Drosophila melanogaster: one gene and its partners. The protein of the gene in region 1 interacts with the protein of each later gene in a pairwise test. Each region holds a gene or a part of one and is shown in the gene's direction. Other genes may lie near its edges.

What was found.
Region 2: the proteins of Pcf11 (region 1) and synr interact in a two-hybrid assay, tested with the Drosophila melanogaster proteins (one large-scale study listed by BioGRID).
Region 3: the proteins of Pcf11 (region 1) and CG4194 interact in a two-hybrid assay, tested with the Drosophila melanogaster proteins (one large-scale study listed by BioGRID).
Region 4: the proteins of Pcf11 (region 1) and Dyb interact in a two-hybrid assay, tested with the Drosophila melanogaster proteins (one large-scale study listed by BioGRID).

Annotation. Positions count from the first base shown.
Region 1 is NT_033778.4:14,866,291-14,874,803, reverse strand, and holds the start of Pcf11 (Pcf11 cleavage and polyadenylation factor subunit), read left to right. Parts: upstream 1-3,732; 5' UTR 3,733-3,884; intron 3,885-4,491; 5' UTR 4,492-4,572; coding exon 4,573-4,755; coding exon of another isoform or gene 4,756-4,833; exon of another isoform or gene 4,834-5,158; intron 5,159-5,771; coding exon 5,772-5,897; intron 5,898-5,960; coding exon 5,961-6,176; intron 6,177-6,241; coding exon 6,242-6,571; intron 6,572-6,632; coding exon 6,633-7,320; coding exon of another isoform or gene 7,321-7,499; exon of another isoform or gene 7,500-8,191; intron 8,192-8,513. Other genes in the region: Cyp6a17 (cytochrome P450 6a17), read right to left, coding at 1-824; Cyp6a22 (cytochrome P450 6a22), read right to left, coding at 1,435-1,868, 1,936-3,001.
Region 2 is NT_033779.5:4,938,302-4,945,875, forward strand, and holds synr (sayonara), read left to right. Parts: upstream 1-4,440; 5' UTR 4,441-4,550; coding exon 4,551-4,643; intron 4,644-4,709; coding exon 4,710-4,979; intron 4,980-5,046; coding exon 5,047-5,447; intron 5,448-5,501; coding exon 5,502-5,687; intron 5,688-5,746; coding exon 5,747-5,933; 3' UTR 5,934-5,999; downstream 6,000-7,574. Other genes in the region: Sgs1 (salivary gland secretion 1), read left to right, coding at 1-3,065; mRpL24 (mitochondrial ribosomal protein L24), read right to left, coding at 6,000-6,115, 6,174-6,563, 6,626-6,779, 6,891-6,974.
Region 3 is NC_004354.4:2,065,580-2,072,313, forward strand, and holds CG4194 (uncharacterized protein), read left to right. Parts: upstream 1-3,012; 5' UTR 3,013-3,027; coding exon 3,028-3,822; 3' UTR 3,823-4,109; downstream 4,110-6,734. Other genes in the region: CG14054 (uncharacterized protein), read right to left, coding at 1-124, 179-312, 366-509, 570-659; CG4199 (uncharacterized protein), read right to left, coding at 1,130-2,844, 5,781-5,847.
Region 4 is NT_033778.4:12,433,894-12,442,316, forward strand, and holds the start of Dyb (dystrobrevin), read left to right. Parts: upstream 1-3,451; 5' UTR 3,452-3,496; coding exon of another isoform or gene 3,497-3,516; 5' UTR 3,517-3,997; intron 3,998-6,739; exon of another isoform or gene 6,740-6,842; coding exon of another isoform or gene 6,843-7,235; exon of another isoform or gene 7,236-7,244; intron 7,245-7,294; coding exon of another isoform or gene 7,295-7,296; exon of another isoform or gene 7,297-7,427; intron 7,428-8,423. Other genes in the region: DUBAI (deubiquitinating apoptotic inhibitor), read right to left, coding at 182-513, 579-1,388; Tmem18 (transmembrane protein 18), read left to right, coding at 2,304-2,363, 2,428-2,545, 2,621-2,769, 2,826-2,954; CG30334 (uncharacterized protein), read right to left, coding at 6,843-7,235.

The DNA of each region.
Region 1 (8,513 bases):
TCTATCAGACTGTCCATGAAATCATTTCGCTTTTCCTTCGTCCGTAGACGGTAGTCAATGGTTTCCCTCACGATCTTGGTGTAAAAGTCCTCTGCCTCCTGGATATTTAGTTTCAGACGTAAGCGGCGCGATAACTTGGGAAATCCAAAGAGGAATATATCCAGCATATTCCCGTAGCGATGCTCGGTGATCGCCCGCTTGCCAATTGACACAAATTCAGCCTTTGGATCGTACAAGCTGTTGCAATTGAGACCGAATGCGCAGTTGCCGATCACATCGGCGGTGTACCGTGCCACCAGATCCACAACCTCCAAAACTTGACCCCGATCCGCAGCGGTTTTACTTCTGAAGACCTTATCCATTTCTTCTCCAACTTTCACAACAATCGGAAACATGTTCTTCATTTTGCCGGACGTAAAAGTGGGTGTCAGTTTGTGCCGCAGATGACGCCACTTCTGACCCTCGATGCTGAACAAGGTGGCCGACAGCGGATCATCGATCTCGTTGTAGAAGACTCCCCGATTCTCAAAGTGATTGAAGTCCTTGATCAGCACCCTCTTGAGCAATTCCATGTCGGTGACCACAGCAGTGCGGGTGAAAAAGAAGAAAAATCCAGCGAATGGGTAATCGGAGTTCTTGTACTTGAAGTAATAGTCCCGAAAGATCTCGGCAATGTGCCGCTTATTTGGCCAGTCCTTGATGTTTCCGAAAAGCGGGTGTACCTCGTCGTGCGGTATGCCCCTTCTCTGCCAGTATCCATGACGTCGTCGGGCCGCGAAGACGAGCAGTGATAGTATCACAACGATTAGCGCCAGTAACAACATTTCACGTCCAGAGTCCAATACAAACTGACTTTAAAGTGGGATGCCACAACGCAAGCTCATTCGCGTATGAGGACTTCGCTCTTTTCGCCAATCTCTCATTTTCACACACAAAACTCACCGTTCAAGTTCTCTTAAGGTTTGTTCTCAATGTGATAAATAATAATTAGGGAATCATATGCGCAGTTAAAATGGTTGTATACACATATATGAACAAACAATCTATATACATACAATCTCTGTATATAAACAATCTAGCGATTACGCAATCAAAAAAATATAAACAAAGCGAATTCCAGTAATTTTTATTGCATTCTTTGCAAACTTGGTTTTTGCCAACGTAAATGTACAAATTAAGCATGAAACTTGGAAAACAGATTTCATTATTTAAAATCCCTGGAACTGGTGAAATGCTAAGATAACGTCAGTGACGAAATACAAATATTTAATCGAACAAATTAAGCTCAAGAAGCTTGATTAGATATACAGCAGTTTTACTGTACCTACTACGTTGATTGATAAAAACATTTGATTGTGTATTTGTATAACAGCATTGTAAAATGTAGATACTAAATGTTAGAATACAATCCAGATAGCGATTTAATAAGCAGCACTAACTACTCATTTGGCTAAGCTGTTGGACTTTTAAGTAAATTCCGTTGGCGGGGCACAGCAGAATGTTGGACTTGAGAAACTCAATTTTTGGGTCAGTTCGCGGACAGACGCTGAAGTGAAAGTTTCGGAGCAGACTGACCAGGCCAATGGTCGTCTGCATTTTGCCAAACCTCATTCCAATGCAATTTCGCGGTCCATCGCCAAAGGGCAGCCATGCGGCGGTGGGTCGCTGCGCCAGTTGATCGGCCAGAAAGCGCTCCGGGATGAACTTATGTGGCTCGGGATATAGGGCGGGATCATGATGGATGCCGTAGACCGGTATCAGTAGCATTTGACCCGGCTCGATGTAGAAATGACGATCGCCCTTGGCTGCGTAGAGATGCCTGGAGATCCGAGTGAGCTGCGGTAGTATGGGATACTTCCGAAGGGTTTCTAAAAGATACAGTGGTAAATGGTATCATCTTTGTAATATTTAAAATTCGTTTTGAGTCGGGCTCACCTGCTATGACCAGTTCCATGTACCGCAGCTCCTGCATGGAATCATATGTGAATTCACCGTTGTGTAACCGCAGAGCCTGGTCGATTTCCTCGCGTAGCTTTGCCTGCAGTGCCGGCTGCTTGGCCAACTCGTACAGGGCAAATCCTAGCGTTGATGCGGATGTGTCGAATCCCGCCGCAAAGAATATAAATGCCTGGGCGGCCATTTCCTCGATGGTGAGCTCACCGCGCTGCTTCATTTCGATCAGCAGGTTCATGAAGTCGCTCCTCACGATGCCCTGCTCCTCCCTCTGCTTCACAGTTTCCCGAACGATGCCCACATAGAAATCCGTAATGTCTTGATGGATTTGGCGCATGCGCAGAAACCTGGCCACTTCGGGGAAACTCTCTATAAATCCATCGACCAGCTTGCAGTGGCGACGCTCTGAAAAGGCTCTCCTGCCCATTATGGCGAACTCCGCCTCGGGATTCCGGAGGCCGTTGCATTCCACGCCAAAGGCACACCGTCCTATCACGTCCGAAGTGTAGCGAGCCATCAGATCACCGATCTCGAGGATTCCACACATGGCATTATCCGCCAACTCGCCACAAACTTGAGTAAGTTCCTCGCCCACCTCGCAGACCGTCGGAAACATATACTTCATCTTAGCTGAGGTAAAGGTGGGGGACATTTTCTGGCGCAAGGGTCGCCACTTGGGCCCGTCAATGCGGAATAGATGCCCAGTTAGAGGATCATCCCGCTCATTGTGATACATTCCCCGATCCTCAAAGTTGGCGAAGTCCTGTATGAGGATCTGTTTGGCCAGTTCCAGATCTGTGACCAAGACCACAGGTCTCAACATCATAAAAAATCCGGCAAAGGGTGCTCCATTGCCCTTGAACTTCTCATAGATTGGCGTTACAATGTCGATGAAATGTTTGTTTTTCCGAAATCCCTCCATATTCCCCACGGGAAACCGGGCCGGCTCACTGCCAATGCCCCGCCGGGTCCAGTAGCTATATCTCGTCCGCACGAACCAGAAGCCCACTGCCAGGGCAATAAGCAGTAGAGCCACTACATCCAGCATCCTCTCCCCGAATAGATTCACTATGAACTGAACACTGGACCAACGCCTCTATTCGCTCCGCTTACAATCAGCTGCAGTAGTGTAAACAGACCTAGGCAGATAACCTCGTCTCATAGAATTTAGGCGCACTGAAAACAAATCGAACTGAAGCTCGGACTTGACGAGCTTTTAACGGTGATTCAAGTTAATGCAATTGATATAGTGAGAGATAACTGTAGAACACCCGCCTTGAAGAAAAAGTCTATGCAATATATGCATTTATTCTCTGCTTACTATATGAGCGTAATTAAAAGTATGATAAGAATTTTGCATTTCTTATCTGTTTTTTTTCTTTCTTTTTTTATCTGATCTAATATCAGACTTATTATATAGTCTTCTTGAACTTCTCGACTATCAGATACCCGTTACTTGGCTAGAAGAAATGAAGTTAAAGAAACAATACTAATTTTCGGATCGCCCACTACCGCCACCTGGTGGTATATTAATTCAATTGGCAACGCCTATAAAATTAAATAGTGCATATTGCATTAAAACTAAATAAATAAAACACTTCTAACATTAATTTCTTTTTTAATTAGTTATACTGCAATTTTAAAGGCACTTTAAAATTTAACATTTCTAGTGGTTGGCAACGCGGTTTAATGCAAAAAATACCTTAATGGTATATTTTTAGTATATTTCCTTAAATAAAAATTGTATAAAATGTATAATTTCCATTTCACGTCGACGGCCACACTTTTAAGTGTAAGTCATCAAAAATACATCGCAGTTGTTACGTGAGAGTTTTCAAAAGCTAATTTTTATATAGTAGCAGTGCTTTTGTGAAATTTTTTCCTCGCAAAAGTGTCTGGCAGTGATTGTACAAATGTATTAGCTTAAAAAGGTATGTTTTTAAATGTTCTGCAGCGCGAAAAAGTAAATTGAAGTCGAACTGATAACTCGCGTGTGTATGTAGTGGTAACACAAACGTGGCTTTGTCTGGGAAAATCTCCGTTAAATCAATTTAAGCAACGAGATAGTTTCACTAAAACGTAAATATTTCGTGAAAGCGTGAAATGCGATGTACAGAAAGGAAAAACAAGCACTTTATTGGTTAATTTATTCGGGCAGGCCACACATGCGAAAATATGCTCATGGCCGCCATATTGAATTTTCGTCGTCATTCCGTACGTGTGTGTGTGTATATATGTAAGAGATTACCTTGTGTTTGTGGACGCGCGTGATTGTTTACGTCTGGTACGAATTACATACATAGATACGCTGTATACAGGATTATCTATCCACATAGTGCAGCCTAAGATTTCAGTGCATCACGGTTTATTACAAATAAAATGGGCAGAGATGAAGATATCGCTAACAAACATCGCAACCTTAATACATTATTCATCCAAAATATCCCGACAAAATCCCATTAATAGTGCAAACTTTTTCACACAAATTACCTTTGCTTTTCATGTCATTTAATTACTTTGTTATATTTTCCCTTGCAGTCGAAACATAGCAACTGCGACTACTTCAAACCAAATAACTTGATCAATATCCGGATCAAGATCTGGAATACAGAGTCCACAATGGAGCAGCTATTTCAGAATTACCGCGACGATGAGCGAAGGATCGGCGAGGAGTATCTGTCAAGTCTCCAGGACCTCAACTGCAACAGCAAGCCATTGATCAATATGCTCACGATGCTTGCCGAGGAGAACATCAACTACGCCCACATCATAGTTAAAGTGGTGGAATATTACATCAGCCAGGTTAACAAAACAAAAGCGTATTTACTTAAAAACAAAGACACTCCAGCTTACACACAGCTAATAGACGGTCGACACTAAAAGTGATTCTCCATATCGAAATTGTGATAGAATGTGCAGTTTATTGATTGCGGTTGCCCTTTGATTGCAGAGAAACCCAACGAAGGCCACACATATGCGTTTCTAAGACTCGGTTCTTTCAGTTGGGTTTTTCTGCAAACTCTTGGGCACAAATGGTAGATAGGTTCCTAATAATCTTAGTATATATCTCATAATTTGGGTTATAAACCGTGACTGATTTTAATCATCTACAAAGGTAAGAAGTTTAACCAACCTGCTCCTCGTTTCTTATTTCTTTCTACTTTGGATCCCAGAGTTTAAAGCTAAGGAATAACAAACAACCTTTAAAAAAATATTGAAAAATAAATAAAAAGAGAAAATGCTTAAACAATTGTCACCAAGTTGTCTTTTATTTTATACAAAAACTTTGACTGCTTACAATCAATATAAAAAAAATTGATGTGCAGCAATTTTTGTATTACAAAAAGAAAAGTGCAAGTTTTCGTAAAAGTAAAAAAAACTGCAGCCAAACAAAAACAAATGTCCATAATACGTAAGAGTAGTAAAAGCCTTTGTTTCTGCCACATTGTCACTGCGATTTTCATTCATATTCACTCGGCTAAGGGAACAGACCGCTAACATCATACGCCAACACTGTAACCCTTAATGTTTGGAGATCCTTAGACACCGCGTTTCCTCATTCAACACCCAATGCTTAGGAAAATATTTCTCTGTAGGCTAGGATATTGTTTGAGTTCGACCGCCTTGGCATGAAGGCACCCACCACCAGCAGATGAGGATGATGACTTCGGTGGACGATCGCTGACCCTGCTCTTGTGTTGTCCATCGGCCTGTCTCATTAGTTTTCTTCCAACCTATCCGTTTGAATCTCCGCTAGCGACGTTCCGTAGACACTTATTCTTCTTTATTTCTTACCTATTTTACTAAACTTCTAACAGGTGGCGCCCGAATTTAAATTGCCCATACTATATTTAATTGATTCGATAGTAAAGAATGTGAAAAGCAGCTACGTCCAATTGTTTGGACAGTGCATAGTCAACATATTCCTCCACGCCTTCGAATCGGTAAGCGAAATCATTTTCTTAATGTCAATCCAATGGTTCATTAATGTTATTTCAATCCTGCAGGTCCAGCACTCACAGTCGCAGGTTTTGGAAAAGGTGCGGGAACGCATGTATGCCCTGCGTCAGACCTGGAACGAGGTGTTCCCGCCATCCAAGATGTACGCGCTGGACGTTAAGGTGAAGCGCCTAGATAACAACTGGCCCATTACTGCCAAACAGCCAACTAACAAAATTCACGTCAATCCGGCCATTCATGTTAATCCGGATTTCTTAAAACCGGTAAGTGCCCCAAATAACTATTAATCCCTTTAGTTAGACCAATGTATCCATTCAATTGTAAAAAGGGTTTGGTTCCTGGGATGCCTGGTAACCCCACAATCACCAGCGACATGGAGGAGATTTTGCAAGCAAAAACTCGTGAGTTGCTGGAGCTCAAGAAGCGCAAACTGGAACTGGAGCTGGAGCAAACCAAAAAGCATTTAGAGGAGCAGGAGCGTCAGCTGACCCAAACCACGGACGCGATGGTTGGAGCACCGATTATTATGCCTGCTCCCACTCCAGCAGCAATTTGTCCGCCAATCACGGATCCCGGTATAGCAGTGCATAATCAACGAGCTCCAGGAGTAATGGGCAATGTTGGTCCCGTAATGCATAACATGCCAGTGGCTCCGCAGGTAAATTGTGAAATATGATGGTGGAAGCTATAAAAAATCTAATTCAACTATGGAATTACAGCTTTTTGCGAATAAACCAAAAGTCCATCCTGTCAATCCGGCACTGTTGAACTCGGTGCGCCAACGAGATCCGAGACTAGCCCGCCAGATGCATGCGGCATCCTCACATCCAGCTGCGCCGGCACGAAACGATCCTCGGCTGGAGGCCAAATCTAGCTCCTCACAGAAGTCTAGTCGGTCGCGCAGCAAATCGCCTGTGCGCAACAGCAGCAGTCGGTCTGGAAAGAGTGGAAGCTCTAGCCACAGCAGTTCGTCGAGCCGCAAGCGAAGTGAGTCAAAGAGCTCCACGACTTCCTCATCTTCGTCGAGCTCTGATGTTCGGCACAAGGGTGTCACTGCAAGCAGCTCCAACCAGCCAACAGTTAAGCGGTCCGGTAAGATCACGTCTAAGGATTCGGATCGCTATGTTCGCAATGGATCTCCTTTGGGATCCGCGAAACGCAAGAGCAGCTCACCAAGTAGCTCGCCCTCCAAATCCAAGCGCAGCACGTCGCACAAGTCATCCTCGTCGCGAGGAAAGACCTCTTCTCTGCGTTCCCGCAGTCGATCTCCAGTTTTTATGGACGTCGACCTACGCACCGGAGTTCGAAGCAAGTCACCAGAGAGCAGGGCAGTTGCCCCATCATCCTTACCACTGGCGGGCGCATCACTACCAGCATCAGCTAAAGCACCAAAAGATTTAGAGAAACGTAAGAAACAACTTTTAATTCTAATCTCACACTTGTTAGCGAACAACCAAGTCTGGTTTGACTTGGAACCTAGAGCTACAGACAGCTTAGTTGAAAATTTAGAATATATCAACCAGAATGGCGGCACTCGATGGCTTAGGTTGGTGGAAGGGCGGGTTATTGGGACCGTATGTGGTTGACAAGTGGAAATCTTCTGCTCAACTCTAACCGAAGTCTGTGATAAGTACAATTGTGATACCAAAGTGGCGTTCCCAACAATGGAATGTGTTAAACTATAGATTTTGCTTGAATTCTGATAAATATCATATTAAATTACTACTGAACAACAATTTGAGATGGTTATAAAAGCGACCATTGCCAGTATTACTTACTGATCAACATTATTGACAAAGATGTCTATAAAAAGATTCCACTAACTGCTGAAATTTGGTTCTTCGTTCGTTGTTTTTTGGCCCAGTTTATTGGAAGCAGGAAATTTGTTTCGTTTTAAAGCAACTAACCGCCAACAATTAATTAAATATTTATGATATATTTTTTCTTATAAATACTTAAGCGTCGTTTAGAAAAATCTAACAAGTTTTATCGAATCAAAAGCAAAGTGTAAATAAAATGTGTTGAAAACCTTTTGCATTCCAAGTTGTTTTAATTGATGCAAAATGTAGCCAGGTGCCGCCTTTGGTATGATTTTGAAAATGATTTTCGATTTGTGAATGTCAAAACAATAAGTACAACTAAATTGAAAGCGAACCAAAAATAAACCAAAATGATTTAACTGTGAAGTATTTTTTGTACCTTAAACTTCCTATTGATAAACAATTATTAGATGAAGAGAAACTCAATAAAATAAAGACTGCAGTTTTAATTTCCTGTTAACAAACGTGTAAACCCGAAGTGAACAAACATTTTTAAACTAAAATCCAAGTCTATGGAACATCTAGAACCAGATTAAGTTTACTTTTATTTTAAGCATATTTTGTAGTTGGCTTTAATGTATATACAAGCCAGCTAGTGTTGAATTTGTATATGTATTTATATTGTTTTGTATTTGTAGAACGGCACTTTTATCCCTTTTAATTAATTTTAATTACTATTTATATTTTTATAGTCTAACCTAGATTTTGCATTGGTTCCCCAACGGAGCCCGTGGATTCCCTAAGTTATTATTTATGCATTAGTTGCTATCAGTTTCTCTA
Region 2 (7,574 bases), on another chromosome or scaffold:
GCCCAACGACAACTACTCCTAGATGCACAACAACAACTTCCACTTGTGCCCCAACGACAACTACTCCTAGATCCACAACAACAACTACCACAAGTCGCCCAACGACAACTACTCCTAGATGCACAACAACAACTTCCACTTGTTCCCCAACGAGAACTACTCCTAGATCCACAACAACAACTTCCACAAGTCGCCCAACGACAACTACTCCTAGATGCACAACAACACCTTCCACAAGTCGCCCAACAACAACTACTCCTAGATCTACAACAAAAACTTCCACTTGTGCCCCAACGACAACTACTCCTAGACCCACAACAACACCTTCCACAAGTCGCCCAACGACAACTACTCCTAGATCCACAACAACAACTTCCACAAGTCGCCCAACGACAACTACTCCTAGATCCACAACAACAACTACCACACGTCGCCCAACGACAACTACTCCTAGATCCACAACAACAACTTCCACAAGTCGCCCAACGACAACTACTCCTAGATCCACAACAACAACTACCACAAGTCGCCCAACGACAACTACTCCTAGATCCACAACAACAACGTGCACTTGTTCCCCAACGACAACTACTCCTAGATCCACAACAACAACTTCCACAAGTCGCCCAACGACAACTACTCCTAGATCCACAACAACAACTTCCACAAGTGGCCCAACGACAACTACTCCTAGATCCACAACAACAACTACCACAAGTGGCCCAACGACAACTACTCCTAGATCCACAACAACAACTTGCACTTGTTCCCCAACGACAACTACTCCTAGATCCACAACAACACCTTCCACAAGTCGCCCAACGACAACTACTCCTAGATCCACAACAACAACTTGCACTTGTTCCCCAACGACAACTACTCCTAGATCCACAACAACAACTTCCACAAGTCGCCCAACGACAACTACTCCTAGATCCACAACAACAACTACCACAAGTCGCCCAACGACAACTACTCCTAGATCCACAACAACAACTTCCACAAGTGGCCCAACGACAACTACTCCTAGATCCACAACAACAACTTCCACAAGTGGCCCAACGACAACTACTCCTAGATCCACAACAACAACTTCCACAAGTGGCCCAACGACAACTACTCCTAGATCCACAACAACAACTTCCACAAGTGGCCCAACGACAACTACTCCTAGATCCACAACAACAACTTCCACAAGTGGCCCAACGACAACTACTCCTAGATCCACAACAACAACTTCCACAAGTGGCCCAACGACAACTACTCCTAGATCCACAACAACAACTTCCACAAGTGGCCCAACGACAACTACTCCTAGATCCACAACAACAACTTCCACAAGTGGCCCAACGACAACTACTCCTAGATCCACAACAACAACTTCCACAAGTGGCCCAACGACAACTACTCCTAGATCCACAACAACAACTTCCACAAGTGGCCCAACGACAACTACTCCTAGATCCACAACAACAACTTCCACAAGTGGCCCAACGACAACTACTCCTAGATCCACAACAACAACTTCCACAAGTGGCCCAACGACAACTACTCCTAGATCCACAACAACAACTTCCACAAGTGGCCCAACGACAACTACTCCTAGATCCACAACAACAACTTCCACAAGTGGCCCAACGACAACTACTCCTAGATCCACAACAACAACTTCCACAAGTGGCCCAACGACAACTACTCCTAGATCCACAACAACAACTTCCACAAGTGGCCCAACGACAACTACTCCTAGATCCACAACAACAACTTCCACAAGTGGCCCAACGACAACTACTCCTAGATCCACAACAACAACTTCCACAAGTGGCCCAACGACAACTACTCCTAGATCCACAACAACAACTTCCACAAGTGGCCCAACGACAACTACTCCTAGATCCACAACAACAACTTCCACAAGTGGCCCAACGACAACTACTCCTAGATCCACAACAACAACTTCCACAAGTTGCCCAACGACAACTACTCCTAGATCCACAACAACAACTTGCACAAGTGGCCCAACGACAACTACTCCTAGATCCACAACAACAACTTGCACAAGTTGCCCAACGACAACTACTCCTAGATCCACAACAACAACTTGCACAAGTTGCCCAACGACAACTACTCCTAGATCCACAACAACAACTTGCACAAGTGGCCCAACGACAACTACTCCTAGATCCACAACAAAAACCTCCACTTGTGCCCCAACGACAACTACTCCTAGATCCACAACAACAACTTCCACAAGTCGCCCAACGACAACTACTCCTAGATCCACAACAACAACTACCACAAGTCGCCCAACGACGACTACTCCTAGATCCACAACAACACCTTCCACAAGTCGCCCAACCACAACTACTCCTAGATCCACAACAACTACTTCCACAAGTCGCCCAACGACAACTACTCCTAGATCCACAACAAAAACTTCCACTTGTGCCCCAACGACAACTACTCCTAGATCCACAACAACAACTACCACAAGTCGCCCAACGACAACTACTCCTAGATCCACAACAACAACTACCACAAGTCGCCCAACGACAACTACTCCTAGATCCACAACAACACCTTGCACAAGTCGCCCAACCACAACTACTCCTAGATCCACAACAACAACTACCACAAGTCGCCCAACGACAACTACTCCTAGATCCACAACAACACCTTGTCCAACTACAACACCATCTGCAAGTCCTACAAGAACAACAACAACCCGTCGTCCTTGCCCTTGCCATCCCCAGCCTCCTTACCAGATTCCTCCTTGGTCATGGTGGTATCCGAACCCGACCTACCCCAATCCCGTGTGGCCCTGGCAACCTAACCCAGTCGTTCCTCAATGGCCACAGATGCCCGGATATCCAAATCAGTGGCCACAATTACCAGGTTATCCCCAGCAATTACCACCGCCGTTGCCATCACCTCAGTGGCCGTGGTCTTGGCCAAAACCACCAGTAGTTCAACCTGGCGACTGTGAAAACATATGCGAAAACCTACTGAAGGGAGTAAAATATCAAGAAGATCTCATCAGAAGGTGCTTGTGCACACGAACATAATCCTTTAAAAAAGAATCACGTAATTGTTTTATTAAAATGTTGTCTATTTAAAAAAATAACTTAAAACAAAGTTTTGATGGTTAAAAATATCGAACGGGTATGGTATGGATGTAGGTTTGATGATATTGAATGGCAAGTCTATCCTTCAGAAGTGGGAGGAAGGATTATGGATGTCACAATGGCGCATGCGCCTATATGGTTTTTGGATTCCCATGTTTTGCTTAACACTTTCGTCCCTGAGAAGCTCAGAAAGCTTGGGCGCCATTCATCAACAAGTTTGCATTCGGACTTCAGCACTCTAATCGACACTTGACTACATTATTACTTATTTAAACGCAATCATTTGACCCATTATTTTCCGACGCCTTTGCGTTTGGTTGCACTGCATTGCTCATGCGACATATGGTCGCACTATATGTTTGGAGCACACATTCGGACAAGTTTAATGACCAATTGCCAAGGGATTGGAGAACTCACTGCTCTTCGAATTAGGTTAGCACATTAGCTGGTTAAGGACAAACGTGGATTGAAGTTAGGATGGGGAGAGAAACAGGAAAACTTAACGAGTTCTAGCATATGATAATGTGTACAGCCATAAACTTATAGCTAACATCGTAATCCGTGCACAAGCTATTAAAAACTTCAAGAAGATATGTCCCTAAATTTTTCCAATAGTAATAAATATATAACCAAATTTACTCTCTCTGTAGGGCATACTACAATCCTAATAAGCTATAAACACTCCAGAGCAGAGCCTCTAATTTGCTGGTAATTTATCAAAATCTAGATTATAATCCTGCTGATGGATTATGTTTCGGGTCGATTAGTACCCCAGTTATAGGACTACTAGAGTTCGTCCTTCGTTCAGCTGAGCTTGCACATTTCCTACACAATAAGCAGATGTTAATGGCTCCCTTCTTTGTTGTTTTTGTTAACTTGTTAATACAAATACACCGTGTGCCAATTCACAAATCCAACAAGGTATAGTGGACATGCCAACAAAAAAGCTAGCAAAGCAAATAACACATTGTTGACAAACAGCGGGCTATTGGGGTGAACCTTCAAAAATCTATTGAACAAAAGTATTACTCGTCATATGTATTGTAGCATTTTAATTAAGGAAACATGTATTTTAATCAATATAACTTAAACTTAAAGATAGTAATGGTTGCACATGTCGTATGCGCAATTTTCATGAAGAGTGGTCCGCTCTAAAGGACACATACGTGGTAACAAGGGGGCTACGCTGGCCCCTGTCCCCACCTCCCGAAATGGTTTGTGGGTGGATTTGGTGTGGCCCTGTCCAATGGCTAGCGCGCAAAAATAATTTTTGTTATTGTGTTTTCCCTCATAAGTGGACATGACGGACCCAACGAAAGCTCATTCAGCGCTGGACAGGCGAACTGGAAAGGTCTAAGACGGAAGATGTCATCGCCGGCAGAGCGGGCGAACTTCGTGCAGCACTTCGGACAGACAACCTGAGTGATGGGCTGTGGCTCCTCCATGGATACGCAGACGAATCCTGTCGTCACGGAGGTCAGCTCGGAAATGCAACCTCGCCAGAATGGCGCCTCTGGAGTAATAGCACTTGAACAAGTCGTCTTACCTTTGCCATAATCAATACCTCTTCCATTTCGTCATCAGAATGTGGTCGAGCAATATGTGCGCCTGGACGAGCAGATCAGCAAGCTGGAGGGCACATGTCCTGGTCCTCGAATGGCCACCGCCGAGGCCTGGGTGGAGCACATTCAGAGCAAGCACGAGGCGATGCTGGGACTCGATGGCATGGGAGTGTCTCCTTTGCGCGAGAGGGAATGGGAAACCGAGGAGGCCCTGCCCATTCCAGCTTACACAATGGGGGGGCGGCAGGGCGACCCAATTGTGGCCAACACGCCCACCAAGGACCTGGCCCAGGTAAATGGCCTGCCATTAGTGAATGTGATGAACTTCCCTCAAGTATATTATTACCATTCGACTTTAGCTTGCCTACAACCTGGGCGTAATTGGCGATGCCCGCAAGGCTTCCATGCACGAGGATTTCTTCGCCAACCTGAGCGAGTCCGCCATGTATTTGCTTAGCATTCGTTACTACGGCGAGATGTTGGAACACACTAAGGTGCGTCTAAAGACTCTGGCCGAGAGCTATGCAGAGCTGAACGAGCTGTACGTAAAGCAAGACGGGATTATAGCGTATATAAGCGGGGGAACGTACATGACTCGGCTGGAGGAGAGCATTGATGAGCAGCTTGAGACGGCAAGAGATACAAGGGATAAGCTGGGCAGCGCACTGGAGCAGTGGCGCATCTGTGGATTACTACTTAGAGCAGCCGCGAATTCCTCGACGCAGGCATTAAAACAATGGCGACAGCTTGGACGGATAATGTGGGTAAATTAATTCCCCACTTAGAACTTGTTGACATGTTATTTCTCGTTCAGAGATCCCAAGCAAAAGCTTCAGTGGGCGTTGGACTGTCGAAGTCTGTTACACGCCTCCACGATATCCCTAGAGGCGGCTCAGCTGGCTCTGCCGCACGTGGAACTCAAGTACATGAGTCATCGGCAAGTCCTAGCCGTCAAGCACTGCAACACCTACCTAATCACGGATATAGCAAACAAAGCGCGGTAAGTTAATATATAGATTTCTCTAGAATCTTCTACAAAGGGAAACGAATCCCTTTTAGGTACGAGCACACCAGTCGGGTCTTCACCAGTTACGAATCAAACATGTCCAAAACCTGCACGTGGCTCTACGAAACCTTTAACAGCACGCTGCGCCCAGACTACGACAGGGCGGAGGAAACTGTATGCGGGCTGGCCAAGACGCTCCGGGATCATCGCGAGGAGGTCTTCAACACGGTGCGCAAGTGACATTAAACTTATTGCTCAATTATATGGGTATTTTGTACATTACTTTAATAAACAGTAGGCATAACATTAGTACCAATAGCTCTTGACTGGCGTGCGTTCCTCTTTGATGCCCATTTCCTCCATAATGTCCATCTCGAATGTGGACAACTTGGGCTGAAAGGTGATCTCGCCCACAACAGCGCCTGAAAAGGACAGACTTGTATGACTAGGAACATATTGAAATGCGATAATAGCCCATACCTGGCGTATCCTTCTCCCTTTCGATATAGGCGTTTGGTGTTTTATAATCGTGCGTCTGGTTGTTCGTCTCCGGGATGGGTATGATTCGGCCAGATCGCAAGGACACCCGCACTTTCTCGCCCTCCTCCGTGAAACGCCACTCAAAGTCGGTGCCCTGAAGATCCGATGGGTCAACCAGACGAATGTCCTTGGTGACGTGCAAAGGTGCCTCGGACTTGATAATGATACCGGGAAACTCCTTCTCACCGCCAACCTTGCGATAGTGCCAGTTCAGGCCCTCTACAATTACCCAATTGCGCTCGGGTATAACCTGGGTGACAATTCCCTGCTTTCCTTTGTCTTTACCCACAAGGACTTCGATACGATCGCCGCGGAAAAAGCTCCAGTCCTCTGAAAAGGATATACAACCATGTTTTATTAGGTTTTAGAGGTCAAGGCTTCTTATTCCTTACCAATTGGTTCCACTAGCACCTTGCGACGCACGGTTCCGGGCATATTTTGCTGGCGGAACTGACCCGTCCATGAACGATTTGTGGTGTAGCGGAATCTCTTTCGCTCCACGGTACGCGGTAGGTAATTAATCTCCTTCGGAGTTTGCCAGTACACCTGTGTTGAGATGAAAAAAAATATTTTAATAAATGTGAAACATTTTCCATGCGATGTGTTACGTGAGCCGCTGTTCACAAGTTGTTCAATGAAAAAGACTCTTCCTGTTACCTGTTTTTTGCTGCGCTCGATGTATTCCTTGGGCAGATTGGAAAAGTTCTTCAACTTGCTGGCCAAATATTGCGTTAAACGCATTTTGAAAGGTTAATTCAATTATTAATAATAAGAACTAGTAAATTAAATGCGGCTTGCAATCAGCTGTTGAGAACTGAAGAATAGCCATTCACAGGAAGGCCCAACAATTTTATTTATATTTAATGTTTATGCGACTCTAAAGATTATGAACACTTGATGTAGGCTTGTAAAATATTTAAATTAATTATTTTCGAGGTTTAAGAAAATATCTTAGCTTATATATTGTTAAACATTATGATATAGAAATTTAAGAACTAGCAATTATTTCCCCGTGTAAACGTGGTTCGCTGTGACTGGCAAGAAGAGGTAAGAAGAAGCAGCTGCTATTTGTGGACTACTCTTGGTGTTTTATATCGTTCGCCGTAGCCCTAAATTGCAATGCAAACCGGCTTTATATAAACAAAAGGTAAGTGCTAGACCATATAAATGTGGGCACGTGCGGGCGCAACATCATTGGAAGACGGAATCGCAACCGGAGAGCGTCTATTCCGGCCAGCTCAGTCCAACCGTTTGGGAAGGGCCTTTCAACGCTTAGTCATATCCATATCTCAGCGCACACCGAGACAATCCAGTTCCTACCCACCCATAAGTTCCTCATTT
Region 3 (6,734 bases), on another chromosome or scaffold:
TCTGTGCCAGACGTGCATCAGGATCGGGGGCAGCTGGTGTTCCAGTGCTTCTTGCAGTTTCTGTATCTCGTGGCAGAGGAGCCGGAGACGCTGGATGCGTCGCAGCTTTACGTCCAGGATGCGACTGTGGAAGAACAGACTAGATAGCCCAACTAGACGACTGCGGTCAGTACAATACCTTCGAAGTTCAGTGCAGGCGTTCTCCACGTCGTTAATCCTCATCCTGGTTACGAACAGTTCCTGACTGATGTCGAAAGCTCGGGAGCACAGCATGGCAGTTCGTGACTCGAAGAGGTCAGATTTATCCAGCGCCTGAGGAGGAACTGCTTTTACTACAAACAGTGGTCGGACGAATCTTTACAAACCAGATTCCTGAGCTGGCGGTTCCGCTCCTCAAGAAATTGGGTGCGCTTCTGGACATCCGCCAGCTGCTGGGACATCCCAGTCGGTACAGTATTCTGATGATGTAGGTCGACACCATGCAGCGAGGATAAATCACTCAGCGGAAGCTATTCGCCGACAAAGTGGTAAGTTAGTACACCCCACATGACCATTTTCAAAAGCCATACCGTGTGCTGGGTCCTACCCAGCTTTGTGGTAAACAATTGGAGGCCTGCGTTAAGCAGGGATCGCTGGGAACTCCGACTAGGTGAGGCCATCGATTCTAGAGTTACGTTCCTAATTTGGAATTTCGGTTTGAACGCGAACAATTAGTTAGACTGTGTAAAAATAAGCAAGTGTGGAAAGTACGGAAATACTCACGGATAAAACCGTTTGTAAGTTAACGGGTGAAGCGAGGAGCTAACGACCTTGTTTGAAATTCATCAATAGGAAAAAAGCCAAAACTATTGTTTTAAATACGAAACGTTAAAATTCTTTATTTAGCAAAAGTAAACCAATACGCCATTGTGTGGCAAGGGAATGAAACGCTTACATCTTTGATCTCTTGGGCCAAAAGTGGCAACCGCGGCGGGAACTCAAGGAAGTCCCCACAACTACAATTATAAATATACACAGATATAGTTACACGTTTATAGAGTTTTGCATACGAGTACCCATAATAAATACTCAACGATTGCATGAAAATATAACAACAAATCTCAGCGGTAATACACATTAAGTTGATTATTTAGCGAACTTGGGGCAACGGCTGGCCAAGCTTCTTTGTCCAGTCCTCACGGGTGGCCGGGTCTTCGATCTGGCCACGACCGAGGCACTTGCCCTGCGAGATTAGCTCGGCAAACTGGGCCACAATCGGATCCCGGCCGCACGAAGCCACCGCTGTCACCGTATCCGCCTCGTTGATGAAGTAGGCCACAAACTTAAAGTCCTCCATGCTGCCGTCAATGATCACATCCTTGTAAGAGCCATGCCCGGCATACCGAATTCCCTTGCCGAAGATGAGGGTGAAAAAGAAGGGCACGGCCTCCAGCTTCTTTACCCCGCCGCACATGTTGATGGCCGCCACTCGTCCATGGTATTGAGCCAGCTGGTAATGCCCGATGTTCACGCGATCGTGGGCCAGCCCGTGAATGTGGGCGTTTGCTATATCACCGCCCACATACACATCGGGTACATTGGACTCCAGGAAATCAGTGACGTCCACGGATCCGTTACGATTTACCTTCACGCCCGACTTGGCCAGAAATTGGGTGTTGAGCTTGGAGCCAGTGCCCAAGATCAGCAGATCGCAAGGCAGACGCGTGTCATCTACCAGCACCACCTCTGATACCTTGCCGTCTTCGTTGCCAACGATCTCGGCGATGCCGCTCTCCATGCGCATGACCACCTTGTTGTCCTCGAACAGCTGGAGCACCCTCTGACCAATCTCCGCGCCGAATGCGGCCTTAAGTGGGACGTTTTCACGACCCACAACCGTGACGCTTTGCACTTTGGAGACCAACCCAGCAGCTGCCTCCAAGGCGATAAAGCTCGATCCCAGACAGACGACGCGGGACTCCGGGGTGATCGATGCCAATATCGCCTTTGTATCCGCCAACTCTCGGACAGTGCGGACGTTCTCCAAGTTAACACCGGGAATAGGCGGCCGGAAGGCGGAGCAGCCTGTGGCCAGGTAGATTTTATCGTACTTCACCACGTAGCCATTGCTGCAGTGCAGCTCTTTCTGAGCGGTATCCAACTTCTCGGCGGCGACTCCTTGCCACAGTTCGATATCGTACTCTTTGTAGAACTCCTCGTCGCGGAACCGCAGCTGCTCGATCTCAAGGTTCATAGCCTTGGAGATCTTAACGCGATCGTAGGGCAGATAGTCTTCGCGGCACACAAAGATTAGGCGCCCAGTAAAGCCCTCCTGTCGGATGGTTTCCACGGCTACAGCGCCAGAAGGACCACCGCCAACCACGATGAACACTCGCTGATCGTCGGGCTTGCGTCGGACCATGTTCTTGAGTCGCTTGTTATTCACCAGATCCGATCGCTTTGCACGGAGCATCACCTGTCCCTCGTTACCCACTTCCACGCGATAACATGGCAGGGAATCGAGACCAGGAAAGTCCTCAATGTCTCCGTTTTCCAGGTTAAAGCAAGCGCCGTGCCAAGGACAGCGGACACGACCCAAACCCAAAGCTCCAGTCTGGAGCGGAGCTCCGTAATGGGTGCACTTAGCACCCACTGCTAGCAGACGATCGTTCTGCTTCACGAGCAGCACGCGGGTGTCCTCATCGAAGTCCACCTGCTTCATTTCGTTCTCCTTCAGATCCGTAACTCTGCAGTCCACGGGGACCGCACTTGTGTACTCCGAATCCGGCGAAGACTCTTCCGTCGACATGGTTGTACTGGGACTCTGGTTGCTGCACTTGGACTGGTAGGAACCCACGGCACCACCTGCCGAAGCCATCATGTAAAGAGACAAGCAAAGAGAAACGGAGATAACAATACAGATAAGAAGAGTGTGTAGGTGAATGGACACATCAAAATTTTCCAGTTTTTCTCCAAGGGTCCAAGGGAAATTCTGGCACCGCTTGCTGCTCAGGTAGAAACAACAAAAAACGAATATCAGTCGAGAAAATGCTTCGCTCGCGTTCAGAAGTCTTTGTGTGTTTGCTTATGATCCTGGGATCAGTTCTGGTCCGTTCGAATCTTGGGAATCCTCAGGAACTGGAGCTAAGTGCGCTGCGCACCCACAAACAGCTATTGCAGGCGGAGATCGCACGTCTTTTTTTAGAGCAGCCGCTTCGAGCGGAAACTCAACTTCTGCTGGAAGATCTACAGCTAAGAGATCATCAAATAGGCGTTCAGATAGAAAAGCTCGAGGAAATCTCCAAGGGCGAGACCACGCAGAGGCTGGCCATCAATCTAACGGCTGACTTTGAACACCTGCAGCATAAATTGGATGATTTGAAACGACAACTTGAGCTGCTCGACGGACGCTTTGCCTCCCAAGGGAAGCAACTGGAAGGACACTCGTCGGAAGGCGCATCGCCGGCTGGCCCCGGATTAGGTTCCTTTTTGTGGGGACCCTTGCTGACCATGCCAGAGTTTCCACAGGGCAGTGTGGCCAGCGACCAGCAACATAACCACCACCAGCAGGATCATTCCCCGGATCCGCAGCAGGATTCCAGTCCCTCTATCATTAAAAGAGTGCTGGACATGCTTAGGCCATCCATAGGAGTATCAGGTCTGCGGAGTCGTTGGACTGAATCCGCAAAATCAGCTGCAACGGGCTTGGCAACACCTAAGCCCACTCACCCACTTAGTGCTGAGGAGCTCCTACCGCAGCTGCAGGAGCAGCGCAGGTTTCTGGACGATGCTATTACGCGACTGGAGCTCTTGGCCGTCAAGAAGGGCTCGAACAAAAACTAAAATATGTGGAAAATCTAAGTAAATCAAACACTTAAATCCATCTATCCAAAAGTTGAGCTTTGAGATTAAACAGAGGATCAATATTTATTTACTTAAATTGCCAGAGATCATCATTCATAACCAGATTCGTTGAGTCACTGTCAAAAATTCAGAGAAATTATACTATACCAAATAAGTAAAGTTCGTTTCATAATGATTTGTGACCATTTCCGAAAACAATTGAACTAAAATTAGATTGAACAGTCACCTTAATGAAAAGTCTAAAGCAATAAATACTAACTATCTTTAAAACCATGATATGTAATTGTAAAATTGTGTGTGTCAGGGCACTTATTTTAAGCAACACCGAGGATAGGGTAGCAGCTGCCTAATTGCCATCGATGGTTACCTGACCACAACAAAGCGGATCCTAGCGACAAGTCCGAATCGATTGACTCATCCGACCTACTGCAATGTCACGTCAACTAGGCATACCTAAGAACCTCAAGTTGCTACGTCATCAAGAAAAGCCAGGCGGTGAGGAAAACACCTATTGTATAAAGCGTAACCGTAACACCTGTAAACGTGTGTCGGTTCTGTTCTGATATGGCGATAATGTCTACACGCCCCTATCTCAAGTGACTGGCTTTATGATGTATGGTAATATGGTATCGCTGGTATATGTATCGCCGATATGCCCATGATAGAGGAGCTGATGATTCGGCTTTTTGCGGACGGAGGCGTGCTGATCGGAAATCAAACATTTCCATCGAAGCAGCAAACATGAAAAACAGCAAGTCATGAATTACCCAGCGAAACAGATGTAGGGACAACTTTTCCATCGAGTCGGTTAACTTCGACCCTGCACTGTACATTTGCCAATCTCTTTCAGTTCTCTCATCTAATTAGCAATGATTCGCCATGTTAATAACACAGCTGCGTTTTCCACACACACACGGACGCGTATACATGGGAGCAAACCAAACCGGTTGGCCTTGTCCAACTCAAGTGAGTCAAAAGCCAGGCCAAATAATAATAATAATAACAATTGCACGAGAACAAGTTTCACCGAAATATATAACTCACAAAATCGGGTATCACAGAAAAGGACGGACAGGCCGCAGCTAAGAGAACGTTCCGTCTGATATTAAGAGCTTGCCGGCAGTTGGCGAACGAATGAACTGGAGACCGCCGTTGGAGCAGCCAATTTAAGCGAACTGGGGCCTCATTGGAGAGCCCAAGAGAACGAATGCAAGACATGGCAATAGACAATAGGCAGGCACACAACACAGACGAAATTCCGATGGCGGTGACTAACCGCAGTGGTACAGTGGCCATTGCCTAACAGAGACACGCAAAGATACCCTGTAAGACTCAGAACAGGAAACTTCAGAGCGTCGCAACCATACATAGGAGCTCCTGTAACTCCATTCAAGGTGGTAAAGATGGCCATGCTATTGGATATCCACAGGGAAACTGTCGCTTTAGGGGAATTAGTACCCGGGATTAAGTATTCCCGCATCGATAGCTACTGTGGCAATGACGCAGCAGCAGTTCAAGCAAGTTGCGCCCTCCCGCCGTCCCTATCTCTTTGCCAATCTCTTGGACTTGTGCCGCTGAGACAATCATCTAGGCACCTACGCCCGGCCCGAAAACACCCATCTAATGCGGGTCATTCCCACTCTCCTAATCACAACTCCAAGCCATTTGGCCTCGTTTAGTTGGTAAAAGGAACACGGCACTGGTGGCAATCGGATCATCTACGACATTACCACGCACTTTTCGAATTGAAGTCGGAAAACGAAGGGATTGGTTTAAGTACATTTGGAACTTTTTTTTTGGGCAAGATGATCTTATTTTATTGGGAAGAAACCATTTGCGAGATTAGAAGTGGCGCAGTCAAATTGGAAATGCGACCTTGCCTTGTTGTTTGGCAATTGACCTTTCGAAAACTATTCATCTGTAAATCGTGCATTTACCTGTCGACTTCTCCTTTTTGGGAGTGCTGCCCGTGGTCTTGTACTCCTTGCAGTTGACGGAACCCATTGTGTTTAACAGGCGGTTGTTGATGTGGCTCGCAAAAGACGGGGCGTTGAGTATCCTCCAGGATTGGCTGGACGGGAGCTTGCGTATCCTCAGAAGGCCTTCAAAGGCTCGTTTCGTTTTGACCAAGCTCAGAGCTGTGCGAGGGGACTGCCACCTGAAAGTTGAGTGGCCAGTTTAGGAGCTTTACTTTTCACTTAATAACAATCAATCACTGTGCCAAAGCTCGTTATCAGTTAGTTAGTTCCCGCGTGTTAATCATTTCTATTTAATTATTCCTCCACAGCCTGAGTCATCAGCCGCAGATGGATGTGCTGAACTCCCCCAAACGTGTCCGAGATGCTGTTTTTTGCAGCACACACAACACACGTCGTTGTTTATTTGCGAATTGCTTTTAGTCGCCAATCATCACTCACCACTCTCCACAACAACACTAAACAAAACAAAAACAAAACAACTGGAATATCGCGTGGAAGGGAGGATGAGAGCCTGGGAGCGTGCAACAGGTCGGGGGTCCGCGTCTGTGCCGAGATAAGCGAAGTGGAGTCGAGTGGACCAGGAACGCTGCGAGAGAGCCGGGAGAGCAAGAGCCAATGCAATGCGAGGCACGTCTGGCGCGCGTGAACTGCGGACCGCGTATGGCGCGCAACTTCGTCGCTGGATTCGACTGGAACTGGAAGCTTCGTGCCTCCCCAACACACACGCACTTCTGGGCTCTGTGTGTGTCCGTGGACACAGGAACGGTCAAGATACTAGGAGCCAGCCCTACTGTGTAATCGCAACGCTCCCTGTTCAATGCATCTCTCATGTGTATAATGCGATTATAGATGAAACAAGCGCCAAGACTACCTAGACGAAACAAGAAAATTTCTTGGCAGGATAAACTACCT
Region 4 (8,423 bases), 2.4 Mb from region 1:
GTAATCGGAAATTGACACCTAAAACAGATTTATAAACAGTGAGCTCTTAAACAAAAGGTGCTGGCAAGGCAATGCAAATATAGAACCGAGTTTTAATCATAAATATGAGGCAAAGATATTATTTTGCGCTTCTACTTTGGGGAAATTAGAAGTGGGGTTTCTTCATTTGATCTTTACTTACTCGCTGGTCATGGCTAGCGCCTGAAGTACGCTATTCATGTAGCAGGTATTCCCCAGGTTAACGAGTCCAACCCTCGCATTCCGCCGACCCCACGGCTGGGCATTCTCATGCATTGCCTTTGCCAGAGCCACGCAATTCGGAGAGGGCTCATAGGTCTGCAGGGCTTTCTTGGTTGCGACATAGAGCTCATCCTGATCATAGAAACGTAGCATTAGGGCGCTGGTTAGGTCGACCAGTTGCTGCAGACATTTCTTGGTTTCCAGGCCAATCTCGTCCATGGTGGTCGACTGATTCTTCACATACTGCAGGACTCGTGGGATCCTTGGCAAGATCTAATAGGGTAACCAACCAAATGTCAATAATTATGTTGAAGCTAATGTTTGAGTGAAGTGTTTACCTTGTGAAAAACCTCGGGGGTCTGATTAATCGTTGACAGCATGTGAAACACAACCGGTGCGGCCTTTTGCCTCAGCGCCGGAAAGATCATCACGTGGAACAGCTTCTCGATGTTGTCCATTGCAATCTCGTCGAGCAGCGCCATTTTGCCCTGATCCCTTAGCCCCTTGAGCAGCGCCAGCACCCAAAGATTGAGAGTGCTGCAAAAGGTGCAGTACGTGATCCAATCACAGAGCAGGTTCACCGTCTTCTTAATGCTCGAGTCCTGCACATTCTGTTCCAGCAGCGAGTGTACAGCCTCCAGGATCTGCGTGGAGTCGAACAGCTGGAACACAATGGCCACGGCACACGAGGGTGGTGGCTCGAATGGCGACTTGGTGATCAGCTCGTAGACGACACGCAGGTAGAACATTTGGTGGAACTTCTCGTTGCGCGTAGCCAGAAAGGCACCGACCTGGCAGACGTCTTCCTTTAGGCGTGGACAGGATGCGCCTCGTGGAATTTGCAGACGGGCCAAGTCCACGATAACCCTCTCGCAGATGGCCATCACATTGTGGCCTTGCTCCGGCATATCGATGCTTTGGAGGTATGCCAGCAGGGCCTTAATATCCCGCTTGCCCGATCGGTTGGAGTTCAGGCTCTCGCCAGCGGGCGAACCCGTGTCCATGCCCTTTGGCAATACGTTCTCTTCGGCATTCGCCATTCCGTTCGCGGACATGGGTTTGGCGTTGGGCGGAATGCCGTTGCCAGCTCCTCCGGCATTATCCGAGGCATTATCACCCGCCTCGCTGTTATTCTGCTTAACGGCCATTTCGCGTTTCAATCGCTTGGCGTGGGCGTGGACGTGAGTGGCACAAAGGCTTGCGGACCACAGGGCCGACTGGAACTTCCAGTTGCCGATGGGCGGAGGCGTGGGCTTGCCTAGCGCCCGAACACAGCGGCTTTTTCGTTGCCTGCGACTCTGAGCGAGGAGTCTGAGCCGCGTGTCCTTGAACCGCGCTCCGTTACGTGTCGTCGTTACGATTTGACTGCGACCTTTCAACGGGTCTCGAGTGCGCCTCGATCCCTGCCCGATCCTGGCCAGAAACTCCCGCCACAAGCGCTTTAGAACAGAGTCCTAGACGAGTGTGGTGCACGGTAGGGTCGGTGGCCCGTGCCACATCTAAGGCGCCCCTTTTTTCGGATTACCCTGCTCGGCTTTAGCTTCGATTGCTTGCTCACACGTCGCCCGTTCGACTTAATAACCCGAATAGATTTGATTCGCCCTAAAAACTACAATTTTGACTGTTTTAAAACGAATTCTTTGTGATATTTTTCGGATTTGTTAATGTTGTCTACTGAGTCAGTGAAAGCGTTATCGACACGTTCAGACTGAATGACGGGCAGGGCGACTCTGCACGACAAGTCGGGGTGGGTGAGAATGAGGTGGCACAAAATTTGTAATTGCATTTATATGGTGAGTAATACATACTAAACGAAATAATAGTATTTTGATTTATGTTGTTATATTTAGCCCATAAAATAGTAAGTTAGGTCTTACAAACAGCGCTACCAGATCCAGTCAAAATTGAGGAAGCCTGAACGTCTATAGGCCTCCCAAAATGGCGTTGCCATGAAAAATGACAGCTGTTCGCTGCGAATGGCTATTTATGTTTGTTTTGACTCGGCTTTCGAATATATCGCAAAATATATACAGGAAACATTTATATTCACAAAAATCTGTACGATGCACCCAGGGCAAATTGAGGTCAACGAGATCAATGGCTATTGGACATTTCTGCTGAGCGTAAGATACTCGCCTATATACAATCAAAAATCAAGAATCCGGCAAGTTGTCACTATTTTTGCAGATCGATTGGAAGGATCCCTGGCTTATTGGCCTTATTTTGGCGCATATCTTAACCACCACCACTGCGCTGCTCAGCCGGAACAGCTCCAACTTCCAGGTTTTCCTCTTCCTAGTACTGTGTACGTGGACTTGGCGGCTTCCTTGACTTACCCGATAAATGACTCTGATTTTTGCATGTGCTTCATCTTCCTCAGTGCTGGCAGTCTACTTCACCGAAAGCATCAATGAGTTCGCTGCTAACAACTGGAGTTCCTTTTCCAGACAACAATACTTCGATAGCAACGGCCTGTTTATCTCGACAGTTTTCTCAATACCTATTTTGCTTAATTGCATGCTTTTGATTGTAAGTTATAGTGTTTCCACTGCATGAAGTGTGTATTTATCTTTGCTTATTTGCAGGGCACTTGGCTCTACAACTCCACGCAGCTGATGGTGACTCTAAAAACAGCGCAGCTCAAGGAGCGAGCTCGCAAGGAACGCCAGACTAAGGCGGATTCGGAATCCATAGCACATAAAAAGGCAGAGTAGAACTTACGCCTGTATTACATGCAGTTAAAAGCACAAGTAGAGCTGTGAAATTATATGTTATGCTTTAAATGGATTTTCCTGTCATCTAGATGTAGTTTGCTGCACAGCTCTCGTCTTTAAAATAAATTTAATTTAGTATAATCAAACTTATAGAATTTGTAAATTTAGGCTATTTTTACATCCTGTTTTACTTAGCGAAGTTACAAACCTAACATGCCCTTCATATTAAGCAAAAAATCACACCAGTTACCGTTGCCACCTTGGTAAAGCAGTTTTTACTGCCACCTAAAATTTTCTATATATATCACGTAATATGAACTATTTTGATATTTTTGACGAAATTAACATTATAGATCCAATCAGCTTATTGCCTGTATCAATTTCTGATCTGTGTGCCAAGACTGTAATTTCAAATTAGAAGCTCGTTGGACCTGTGTCATTTTTTAGTACGAATTCAATTGGGAGCCCTTCGTCGTCTGGTAACACTGTCCAACGATTTTGTTGTTGCTGGCTTGTGGGTGTCGAAGCAGTGTCGCGGCGCAATGTTGGAAGTGGTTTTTGGGTAAACAAAATCCGTTGATAAGATATTCGCACGGAGCTAATCGCAAATCGCGCTGCGTATTTACCGTTGGCAAGCCAGAAAAAAGTTTTGCATAGCATTGCGGTTTAAAGCCAGGCTCAAAATTCCTGCGAGCTCGCTTGTGTGTGTGCGTTTTTGCCGTCGGTGTGTATGTGTTTTGAGCCCATAAGCGTAGCCCGAAAAAAAGAAGTTTTTCTGTTACCATATTTTTTACCAAAGGCCAAAAGGGCGCAGCATCTTCGCTCTCTATCTCGGCGCTGCATCTTGCTCTCTCGTTCGCTAACGCGAGTTTGGCAACTCCGTTTACCGTTCATCGTTTATTGTGTGTAAACAGCAGGTGAAAATAAAACGCGATAAGTGCAGAGAAACAGGAGAAGGAGGAGAAAGAGCAGCAAGAAGAAGCAGCAACTCCGCGCAGCCCAACAAAAAGTGACGTATTAAAAAAGGTTGCTAATTACAAAAGGTAAACAACAAATAATGTGCGGATTATATTACCAAATTCCCGGGCATAAACAATACCAATAAAATGTTGCTAAGATTGCCCTTCCACCCCCCTCACTTACCCACTGAAATGCGTAGTAGATTTCCGCGATAGGAAAACTCGGATGAGTGACGCGTTGGCGACGCAGCGCACAGTGTTCATTCATAAAAAGTGTCTGCCCCCCTGCGCCCACTCCCAAAACACTCCCCCCTCCCCTCCACACTTTGAACCAAGCCTGTTTGTGGTTGCGCCTGGAATTTAGTTTACAACTAAATATGTTTGCGGGCAGCTAGGAGGAAAGTTCGGATTTGGTTGTTTTTGCTATGTGGGAAACCATAGTTAAACTATTTGCATTCCGTTGGAAAGTCTAGTGGTTCACGCCACGCCCCATGTTCGCTCGTTCACGAAATTATGAAATTGTGTAAATTATATTAAAAAGCTTAACGGGTATATTGATATCTCCTCTATAATACTTCATACAAGATAAGTTTAAGGAACTGAAATGTTTGAAGTTTTAATGAATTTCCTTAACTATTGCGTCTGGTTGACATCCAAGTTCGCATAGTTGAAAAATTCCATATCAAACTGAGCCGCATGCCTTAATAACTAGACCTTTTGCTCATTGAGATTAGATCACATACCGCCATATGGCAGTCGGTGAAATGATTAGCTCAGCGAATAATTAAGCGTCGTGCGAATGAAAAGTCACACACACACACACTGCAACTTGGTGTTTAGATTAGAGCATTTTGTATCTTAGCCCACCTTTGGCAATCGGTGATATCGAATAGCAGGAAAAACAATAATACGGAATTTATGGTCAGCGTGTCGCCAAAATGCCAAAGTCAAGCGAAATAAATACATAGAAATAATGAAAGAAAAAAAACAATCAAAATAACTCGGTGACATCATTTTGACTAATCGCCAATTTTAGCATTTGAAAAACGGCGGCTGCTCGCCCGGCCCACCAACAAGCGCGCGAAGGTGCGAAGGAGAGAGTCCACCAGGGAGGGGGCTGCGAGCGAGTGCGGGAGTGGGAGCGAGAATGAGAGGGGGAACACTCGTGGCAGGTGCGCCAAGCCGAAGTTCAAAACGAAGCTCAAACCCGAATGCCAAGCGGCATTCCGAACCACCTACAAGTCGGCAAGTAAAATGGATCGAATGCTCTTGCGATATCAGCGAGTTTCACTTTCGAGCCCCTCATCTATACACGAATACTATCTGCAATCGGAACAATCACTAGATAATCCCACGATCCAACATTAAGCGCATTGCTTTTATCACAGGTATTAAATCAAAGCCATGCATTTGGAAAAGTGCGCTTGCCATTTGCCAAATTTAAGTGGCTTTAATTGGCTGGTTTTTACGACTCATTGGCATTATGACGATCTTTAAATTTTACGATTAAATGCATAAATCAGGTGTTGAAGTGTAGTGCAAGTGGTTGCTACATATACCCCTACATAAATAGAATCACTCCAGAAAAATATGGCATTCAAGTTGAGTTAACTACTGGCTTGTATTGTAAGCTAAGAAATTGTTAAGTGGTAGCTATTCTCAAAAGCTTGCGCACAGGGGTGCCTTTCTTTAACTCATTATTATATCCATTTATATCCATTACGATCAAATATTCGTTATATATGGAAAATTGCCTAGCCTACCGTGACTCTATTGCCTGCCTGTTGATATTTCCCCCGCGGCAACTTCGATCCGATGCAATTAACTCGAACATATTGTGGCTCATTACGAGGGGCATTCCAATCTGAAGACGAAGCGACTCGATCTAGTTCACAGATACAGAGCTGCATACACGCATCCCACTGGTTATTTCGGTTAATTTTGATGTGTGCTGCTAAGAGCCGAGAGTGCAGAGGACTAGGCACCACTGCTCCACATCCCCAGATATTTCCGACACTACGTGCGCTGCGATGCGACGTGTCGACCGGGTGGGTGGAAATTTGGAAATGTTGTGAAAAGCTAAATGAGGCGTGACACGAAAAAGAAGGCAGAGGGGAAAAAAGAGCAAAGCGACAAACACGCAGAGCAGCATGGAAAAAAAAAGAAAAAAACAAACAAACAAACAGAGCTGAGTGCGGCCACCCACAACATGACAGCCGCCACAACAATGGCCATAGTAGCGTCGAGGAGCAGAACGAGAACGTGGTGCCCACCAAATCTAGCCACGGAGTAATTTCGGCCTAGAAAACAAAGAAAACGAAGAAAACTGCCCAGTTGTCTGCGGAAAAGACAAAGGAAGAATGGAAAACCAAGAGAGCGGAATGAAAAAGGGGGACCAATTCCGCACAAGGCGCACAATTAACCCTTTCTTTGAAGTCAGCGGCGAATGTATCCACTGTCCACTTTCCACTGGGCTTTAATTAGTTTATGGAACAAGCGTCCCGGCTCGGCTAACTGCAATAAAATTAATCGTTTATGCTGTAATCGCATTTAGCGGCGCCGACCTCCTTTCCACTCCTCTCCTCCCTACTCCTCTCCACACCGGATTCTGGCCCGGATTTCCACACCCGCAGTGGCCTCGTTTGATGTATGGGATGTACATACATTTATCGCGGGCGACAACTTTGTTCTCCATAACCAAGAGGCAGTCATGTGTGGGCATTCCATTACAGGGGATTTTCGCTAGCGATTGGAGCGTAAAGCATCTGGTTATTTTAAGACCAAGCCCATAATAATAAACCCAAAGGGCTAACCATAATTGTTCTTGCTTTACAATCAATTTTGCTCAAAAAAAAGAAAAAGAAAGAAATAACTCAAGAAACCAATTAACCGCAAACAGTGAAGTCCAGAGTCCACGAGACGTACATGCTCAGCAGCAGGAGTAGCAGGATGCGCGACAGGATTGGCCACAGCAGCCAAATCCACTGGAGCACATCATGCAGCTGTCCGCTCCGTACGGAAATTGATAGCACGGGGAATACGGGCGGGGACCACAGGACCACGATCCGCCACGAGGACCACAAGATGGCGCACAACCACCTCTGCCTCTGCCTCCACATCCACCTCTCCCTCCTCCACCGCCTTGGCCGCCTCCTCCTCCTCCGCCATAGCGGGAGTCACAGAAGGTGGTGCCAAAGGGCCCGTTACCGCCACTCCATCCGCATCTGGTGAAGCCCGAGTACTCGCCATACGGACAATCGCCGCACGCACGCTCCGGATAGGGTCCAATGTAGAACGGATTGAACTGTCTGCAGCTGGACATGTTAGCTGGCTAATATCGGAGGTCCATCAATTGGAAGGCATTCGGTATCAACTACTCACATTCTGGACTTCACTGTGCGCGGCCAGTGAGCTCCTCTATTCGGTATAATTTCGATAATCGCCTCCAACAATTGCTTCGTTATTTCCCATTAAAAGCCGAAAAGCCAACTAGACTGCCCATAAGTATGGCATTCTATGGAGCCAACTGATCCGACTGATTCGATCGACAGCGGTGGGGGTTAATATATGGCCATTGTTTCATCTGGCGCGTGTTTTGTTTGTAAACACCGATCGTGGCCAATAAATATTTGGGCATCGGACTTCCGCTTTGCGAATGGGGGGCCATAATCTAAATATTGTTTATTTACAATATATGTGAAAAGCATTGGCAAGAATAGCATTTGTATATTTGTATATTGTTTATTTGAGTTTAGTGTGCAATAATCGAACTAACTAAAGAGGGAATATTAAATATTTGTAGTAGACAACTCTGTCCACTTCAAACGTGCTTATATCAGCACAGTGGCCTCTGGCTAAGCTGCATTGATTGGTCAGATTGTTCGTCGTCGTCGTCGTTGTCGTCGTGGCAATGCCATTATGTGTGACAGTTGCATTCCAAATCTCATTATAGATTTATGCAAAGTGCAGGAGGAAAGCTTGGAGAAAGGCAGCCGACTTGCAGACTGGCCCACGATTTCCATTTTCCATATGCGTGGTGACTGTTGACCACTTGGGCCCTCGTTTGCATTGATTTGTGGGGCTTTCTTTGTCATCCCTTTTTGTGGCAACCTCTTTTTGTCTGGGATTCGATTTCCAATCGCACTCCCAATTCGATTGCAGTTCCACTTGATTGACTTGACTCTTGTCGTTGACATGGCCACAGTTTCCCAGCGCGCAAATAGAAATAGAACAAGAGGAACCCACAAGTGGGTTTGGTCCGGTTTAGCCGAATATATCTTATCGTTTGCGGTCTGTTTGCTTTGCAGATCGTTATCAACGCTGCTGAGATAGTGGAACGCATTGCAAATGGATCGTGAAATGGGGGAAAAAAAACCCGCCCACTTCAAATGCCTTGTGTCTTCTTTATTTCGTAAGAGATTCCGAGTGCGTGGGTGGCCCACATTGGGTCATTGGGTTACAACATTCAACCGACAAAGAAGACAAACAACACCACCCACATAGTGCGCCC